2 linked regions of the Danio rerio genome follow. The protein of the gene in region 1 purifies or fractionates together with the protein of each later gene. This does not show direct contact. Links are inferred from orthologs where the notes say so. Each region holds a gene or a part of one and is shown in the gene's direction. Other genes may lie near its edges.

Region 1 (3,830 bases):
ATTAAAATAACTCTAAAAAGTAGTATTTGATTTTTCTTTAAAGTATGATTTATTGAGTTTGAAGATGTATTTTTTGTTATAAACCTATTTTTTTATTAAAGAAAATTGTTGTTTGTAAATAGGACTGGGCGGTATGACTAAAATTTCACAGTATGAGAACGTTTTTTTATGCTAACTATAACTTTCACAATATAGGTTATATAAAGGTAATTTTGCCAGAAAATGTACAAAAGGGCTTTATATAATGAAATATTAATCTTATAAGAAAAGAAAAGATCTTTATTTTATTTGATTATTTTGTTTTTAAGCATATTACTATAGTGTACAAAATACAACTTAAATTTCAAAAACTAAGTTTTAGGCCCCTAAAAAGTCTTAAATTCGCCGCAGTTTTAGTTTGTAGGTCTTAAATCGTTTTAAATAGGACTTCATTTTGCTTTGTCTAAGTAAAGCTATACAGTTGGGCCAACAATCATACAGTCCCCAACAATACATCTCAATAAAATCTTATTTTTATATTTAAGTTTTTTTTTTATTGAGATACAATTCCTAACAGCTGTTACATATTTTAACAGCAAGTTTTTCAAATTAAATTCCCCAATCAGGAAAAAAAAAATTAAAACAATTACACTATTCCTCACGATAATGCTAGAAAAAGTCTCAACCCTGCATAAGCCTAAGGTGCTTTCACACCTGCCTTATTTAGTTTGATTGAATCGCACTAGAGTTTGTTTCCCCTTTTGGTGCGGTTCGTTTGGGCAGGTGTGAATGCAGCAATCGTACTCGAGTGCGCACCAAAAGTGGACCGAATAAGTGTACCGAGACCTGCTTGAAGAGGTGGTCTCGGTACGCTTTCAAACGAACCCTGGAGCGGTTTGTTTGTGGTGAGAATATGATCTGTACTAAAACAGGTCCAACCGCAAAAAGTACTTCGCGTTTTGGACTAATTCAGCTGCCGTAGGCCGATGCGCTGTGCATTATCGGATATGGAGGAAAAATATTTGTTGACAGCGCTTTACCAACAGAGAGAGAGAGAGAGAGAGAGAATAACATTATCTGATGGATCGTTGGTAATATTTCCGCAAGATGACCATGTTGCAGTTTAGCTAAATTAATTCACCCTTCCTCCTGAAGTGACGTGCGATGCATTAAAACATTTTTTTACAGCCGCGGCCGCGCTTCATTTTCGTAATGTATAGTTTGTCTAAAGCAATAATACAATCAGTCAGCGCAGTCGTCCCTCCAGAGTAAAAGCGACATTTTGTGTCTGCCAGTTTTGTTTACTTGCGGGAGTTCAAAGGCATTTTACCGCACATGAATTCTGACCAATCAATAAGCAGTTTAGGAAATATGTTCAACAACATCTGGCCAATAAGTGATGTGGATTTTGTCAGATGACCGCATTTTGGTTCGTTTCAACTGGTTCGGACCAAAGCCAGCAGTGTGGTGTGAAAACGACCCAAAGACGGCAGAAAATGCAACAATGTATCATTTAATACCCTTGGTCCGGACCAAATGAAGCGAACTACAGATGTGAAAGCACCCTAACATTTCATTCCTAATGGTCATAAAAAGTCATTAGGCTTGTAGATTTCCTGCAGAAACCCTGTAAAATAAATCCCAATTGAGTAACAGAAAAAGAAAGCTTAAGTATGAAAATATAAATATGTAAACACTTTAAGGAAATAACAAAATTTTCCTTCAAAAATACATCATAAAAACAATGACAATTCTAGTGTGTTGAAATATTAAAAGTAAGTCATTTGTTAAAATATAAAGCAATTGGCAATGCTCCACTCAAAAAAATAAGTTTACGGTACACATTTCACACATTACAATATATTCCACAATAGCGCCTAGTTAATTTGTACATTTGATGTGTTTTTGCCATGAATTATCCAGGTAAGCTGATAATGGAACTAAACACAAAACTCTCCTTCTCTCTGTAGTGAGGTCTAGACCTCATCTGTTCCTGTAGATCTGCGTCGCCAGTGCGCGAACATCAAACCAGGCAAATGGCGGACAAGAACACCAGAATCGCTATCGTCAACCACGACAAGTGCAAACCCAAGAAATGCCGTCAGGAGTGCAAGAAGAGCTGTCCTGTGGTGCGGATGGGTAAGAAACACACTGTGTTTTTAGCTGATCTTATTTTATTTGCTCGTGGTATTCTGTATCATTGATGTCTAATGTTTTTGTTTTGTTTTTTCCTCAGGTAAGCTGTGTATTGAAGTCTCACCTCAGAGTAAAATCGTTTGGATCTCAGAGTCTCTCTGCATCGGATGTGGAATCTGCATTAAGGTATTAAAGCAACAGGTTTAATGCATACAAAAATATATGGATGTTTCTGAGGTTTATATTCATTTATCATTAGTGAGCTTCAGCTTAGTGGATTATCTATACACATTTTAGTAGAATCCTGTTCAGATGCATCAGATATAATTAATTAGGCTTTTGAGAAGGATTAATTTCCAGAACCATTACTTTTGCTGTTCCTCAGCGTGATTGATCATCCAAAGCCTCTAAAGCATGAGTGCCCAGTGCTTGGAAATGGTGCTCGCTGCAGAGCCATTTGGGCGAGCTGAGCTCCAGCGAGGGGGAGCATGAGCTCTCGTTCTGCCTCCTGTAAGCTGTTTTAATGCGTACACCAACCCCACCCCTAACCCTACCCCCAGTGACATCACTTGTAGAAGAAGTGCAAAAAAGGTGGAGCTCAAGCTCAAGCTCCCCCTCGCTGGAGCTCAGCTCGCCCAAATGGCTCTGCAGCGAGCACCACTTGAGTGCTTGAGGGTCCTGCAAAATTTAGTACCAACTTCAATCCCACACACTTGGGCTAGATAATCAAGTTCTTACCAGGCTTTTTAGAAACATCCGTGCAGGTGTGTTGTGGCAAGTTGGAGCTAAAATCTGCATGACACCGGCCCTCCAGGATTGAGTTTGGGCACCCCTGCTCTGAAACATTTAAATATCAACATTTTTAACCTCTCAGTCATTTTAGTATTATATGCTTTGAAACTACAAATAATTGATCCAAAAAACTTTAAATATTTTAAATATTATACTTAGACATTATGTATGTATATAAAAATTGTTCTAAGGTCAATATTATTAGCCCATTTAAGCTTTATTTGTGTTGATTGTCTACAGAACAAACTACTGCTATTCAGTGACTTGCCTAATTACTCTAACTTTAACCTAGTTAAGCCTTTAATGTCACTTTAAGCTGATTACTAGTGTCTTGATGAATATCTAGTCTAATTTTATGTAGTCATCATGGCAAAGATAAAAGATATTAGCTACTACAATTTAGATTAGTATAACAAATGTTATAATCTCTCCATTAAGCAACACTTGGGAAATAATTTTTAAAAAGTTAAAAATTCACACGAGAACAAATAATTCTGACTTCAACTGTATATTGCGATAGCTAATTTATATGCATTTTATGCAAATAGTCTGCTGTGCTGTTATGAAGATCTCATTGATTTACATTGTAAGCTCTTGGAATTTGTTTGTTTTGAACATTAATGGTCTTACTGAGGCTGCAAGATATTGAAAAAAATCTGACATTGACTTCTGACATATTTTGTTTTTCTGCTATTATATATTTTGATGTGAATACAGTTTTACCACATGACTTGAAGAGCTTTATTTGGAAAAGAACTCTTCATTTTAGATTCATTAGGGTAATTTTGTAGGGGAGTGAATCTCGAATAATATATCAAATATATTATAGCAATATAAATTGCATTGTATATTATTCATTCATTCATTTTCTTGTCGGCTTAGTTCCTTTATTAATCCGGGGTCGCCACAGCGGAATGAACCGC
Region 2 (3,930 bases), on another chromosome or scaffold:
AATAATGAAAAAAATAGCTAAAAGGGGCTAATAATTTTGACATAAAAATGTTTTTTTTTATTATTAAACACTGTTTTTATTCTAGCTGAAATAAAACAAATAAGACTTTCTCCAGAAGAAAAAATATTATCAGACATACTGTGAAAATTTCCTTGCTCTGTTAAACATCATTTGGGAAATATTTGAAAAAGAAAAAACATTCAAAGGGGGGCTAATAATTCAACTGGATACTAAAGCGTATACATTAAATTTGCCATGGGTAATTTTCTAATTTATTTAATGTTTAATAAAAACTAGAAAATGTTACTTTAAATCAAATTAACTACTCTAGTTTAATTTTAAGATGTTATAATGAACTTATTACAGTAAAATCATAAACAATCCCATTTATAACATAATGGAGTTCAATACTGAATACACTGCTCAGAGCTGCTCCTGCCTTTACCTTTATTTACCTACCTCTATCTGTCGAGTGACAGTATTTACATTTTAGAAGTCTGATTTATTTAAAACATTTAATTGAATCATTTACTTTCCGTTGACTGTTTTTTTTTTTTTTTTTTTTTGTATCTCAGCAATAAAAAAATAAAATTAAAAAAAACAACCACCTTGTCATCGTTCTCCCTCACTTCTCAGATGGCATAAGGCTGATATGTGATAGTGTGCCAAATCAAAGGTTACCATGGGCCAACTTTGGGCATCTCTGGTCTAAACACTTCATCAAATGTTTATTGATCTAAATATGACTGACAAGTTCTTGTTATATGAACTACGGTTATACTGAAGGACATTTTATTAAATAAATACATTCTGTAAATAATGCCATATAAATTACAGTAATGTGTTTGGTCAGAAAACAAAAACAAAAAACAAGACATTATCATACTCCTCAATTCACTGTCGAAATTAGATATTAGGCTTACATTTAGGTGAAATATACTAATACATCTTATATTATTGATTGTTTTAGACATTTTAATGTATACTTATTGTAGTTATTGAGTTTTTAACGATATTATTATTATGGTCGAAGTAGTAATGTTTTATTAGTGTAGGACCGCATGTAAACGTGCTAGCATGCTAGCATATCTCCAAAATAAGCCTTCGTTTGAAAACACGAACAGTATATTCCATGAAAAGACAAAATAGCGATATATTCACAATAAAAATTGTGAGAATAAGTAAATGATAGCTTACCGTATTTGACACCTGAAAATACGTATTTGGTCTTCACTCTTCAGTGCAGATCTAAAAATGCAAACCGGTAAATCTTTAAATATTATTGTTACCGACTGACGTCTTTCTTTCAGTACAAACAACCGGATATCCAACTTATTTCAAGATCTGATCAGAAATACACACAGTTAGTGATGCAAACCTTTAGCTTTCCTTCCAGTAGACGGCGCGTTGGTTCAGTCCCATCGGTGTTAACATTCGGCTAGGACCGAAGAAGAACGATTCCGGAAGACCACCCGTAAACTCTTCTGATCAGGAAAGCAAGCTATTTTAATGTAAAAATGGCATTTGAGCCCAATAATGATGATTTGTTTGACTCCATCATCATGGCCGATGACAGGTAACGTTAACTAAAGTCACGCACAAACTGTTGCGTCACGAAGTTAGTGTTCATCAATGTAGTCCAGTGTGTAAGTGTGTGTTTAAGTTAGTTCAGTGTCCTTAGCTGTTATTAATTTACATTTAGGCTCATAAATATGCTTTTCTCTTTTAGGTTTCATGTTGAAGGTTATCAGGAGGGCTTTGACGAGGGAGTTCGACAGGGGACCATCGAGGGTAGAAATCACGGGCGGCTGCATGGAGCCAAACTCAGTGCAGAGGTGAAATACACATAATGTCAGATTCACTTGGTTTGGATTAAAGGAATATCACCATTTGTTTTCCTACATGGACGTAATCAATACATTCCTTTCGTGTATTTTAGTAGGTAAAGCTATTGCATTAAGTTCATTGTACTGAATAAGTTCTGAATAATGCTGTAGCCTTCTGGAAAAGCAGTGCCAGGGGGTTTGCTGTTGTGTTTTCACAATGACTTTGTGTGATTTACAATGAGACAACACAAGCATTGTCCAAGCATTGTACAATCTTAATTAATCAGTTCAACATATCTTGAAAAGCATTATTAGTAAAGGGACAGTTCACCCAAAATGGAACAAACAGAAGATACTTTGATGAAAGCTGAAAACATAACCATTGACCTCCATGGTATTCGTTTTTCGTACTATGGAAGTCAATGGTTAAAGGTGTTAGACCACAGTCTCCACGCCAGATAAATACGATCCAGTCCTGGATGCTTGATCTTGTCAGGAAATGTCAGTTTCTCCAGGTATTTGGACAACAAGTCAGCAGAGCAATACCCAAACTGTTAACCAATATTCAACTGAATTAACAGTCTACTATCAATATAGGAGGAAGCAAGAGAAGAGCAGATGCAGGAGACGAAGTGATGATAATAAAAAGCTGCATGTGTTTCAGTGCATGCTCATACTTCGTCTGACCAGGATAAGTCCAGTGTTATTATACCACAAGCAACAGCAATGGAAAATTACTTCACAACATTGTCCATAGACAATACAGACCTTGAAATGGAGACTTTCTCTCATCTCTTACTTATTGTCGGCTGCACATCCATGATGCGAATTTCCCCTTTAACCATATCACAAAGGTGCTCTATTGGATTGAGATCTGGTCACTGTGGAGGCTATTTTAGTACAGTGAACTCATTGTCATGTTCAAGAAACCAGTCTGAGATGATGGCACCCGCTGTGGTCTTCTGCTGCTGTAGCACATCTGCCTCAAGGTTTGATGTGTTGTGCATTCAGAGATGCTCTTCTGCATACCTCATTTGTAACGAGCGGTTATTTGAGTTACTGTTACCTTTCTATCTAGCCATTCTCCTCTGACCTCTGGCATCAACAAGGCATTGGCACCCACAGAAGTGCCTCACACTGGATTTTTTATTTATTTTTCTTTTCGGACCATTCTCAGTAATCCCTAGAGATGGTTGTGCGGGAAAATCTCAGTAGATCAGCAGTTTCTGAAATACTCAGTCAAGCCCATCTGGCACCAACAACCATGCCACATTCAAAGTCACTTAAATCCTTTTTCTTCCTCATTCTGATGCTCGGTTTGAACTGCAGCACATTGTCTTGACCATGTCTACATGCCTAAATGCATTGAGTCGCTGCCATGCGATGGACTGATTAGAAATTTGAATTAAGGAGCAGTTGAACAGGTGTACCTAATAAAGTGGCTGGAGATAGAGTGTGTGTGTGTGTGTGTGTGTGTGTGTGTGTGTGTGTGTGTGTGTGTGTGTGTGTGTGTGTGTGTGTGTGTGTGTGTGTGTGTGTGTGTGTGTGTGTATAAAATTAGGGAAGCACGGTATTGGAAAAATTACACATTGCAATTTTTGTTTTTATTCTGTGATTATATATTTCCATATGGCTACAATTTTACCACATAAGCTGAATAAATGTTTGCGATGTGTGTTATTTAGGGATGCTTCTGAAGGGGAGTTCATAGAATATAATAAACAATCTACAAGCATAGACAAATTAATTCATAAAAAAAATGTGCTAAGTAAATACATTTTAGCGTTTTATTGTAATCGAAATGTATATTATTCATTCATTTCCCTTTGGCTTAGTCTCTTTTTTTTAATCAGGGGTCACCACAGCAGACTGAATCGCCAATTTATCCTGCATAAGTTTTACGCAGCGGATGCCCTTCCAGCCGCAACTCAGAACTGGAAAACATCCATACACTCTTGCATTCACATACATACATGGCCAATTTTAGCTCACCCACTTGAGATTTAGCACATGAAACTGGAGCATCTGGAGGAAACCCACACCAATACAGGGAGAACATGCAAACTCTACACAGAAACGACAACTGACAAACCAGCGACCTTCT

Evidence for each region.
Region 2: the proteins of abce1 (region 1) and lto1 purify together in Homo sapiens (affinity purification with mass spectrometry; 4 studies listed by BioGRID and IntAct, with this or other methods). This does not show direct contact. The link is inferred for Danio rerio from reciprocal best matches to the Homo sapiens genes ABCE1 and LTO1.

Annotation. Positions count from the first base shown.
Region 1 is NC_133198.1:47,448,464-47,452,293, reverse strand, and holds part of abce1 (ATP-binding cassette sub-family E member 1), read left to right. Parts: intron 1-1,949; 5' UTR 1,950-2,015; coding exon 2,016-2,118; intron 2,119-2,215; coding exon 2,216-2,301; intron 2,302-3,830. UniProt on the Homo sapiens protein: Nucleoside-triphosphatase (NTPase) involved in ribosome recycling by mediating ribosome disassembly. Able to hydrolyze ATP, GTP, UTP and CTP. Splits ribosomes into free 60S subunits and tRNA- and mRNA-bound 40S subunits.
Region 2 is NC_133182.1:69,607,239-69,611,168, forward strand, and holds the start of lto1 (protein LTO1 homolog), read left to right. Parts: upstream 1-1,469; 5' UTR 1,470-1,517; coding exon 1,518-1,576; intron 1,577-1,729; coding exon 1,730-1,835; intron 1,836-3,930. UniProt on the Homo sapiens protein: The complex LTO1:YAE1 functions as a target specific adapter that probably recruits apo-ABCE1 to the cytosolic iron-sulfur protein assembly (CIA) complex machinery. May be required for biogenesis of the large ribosomal subunit and initiation of translation.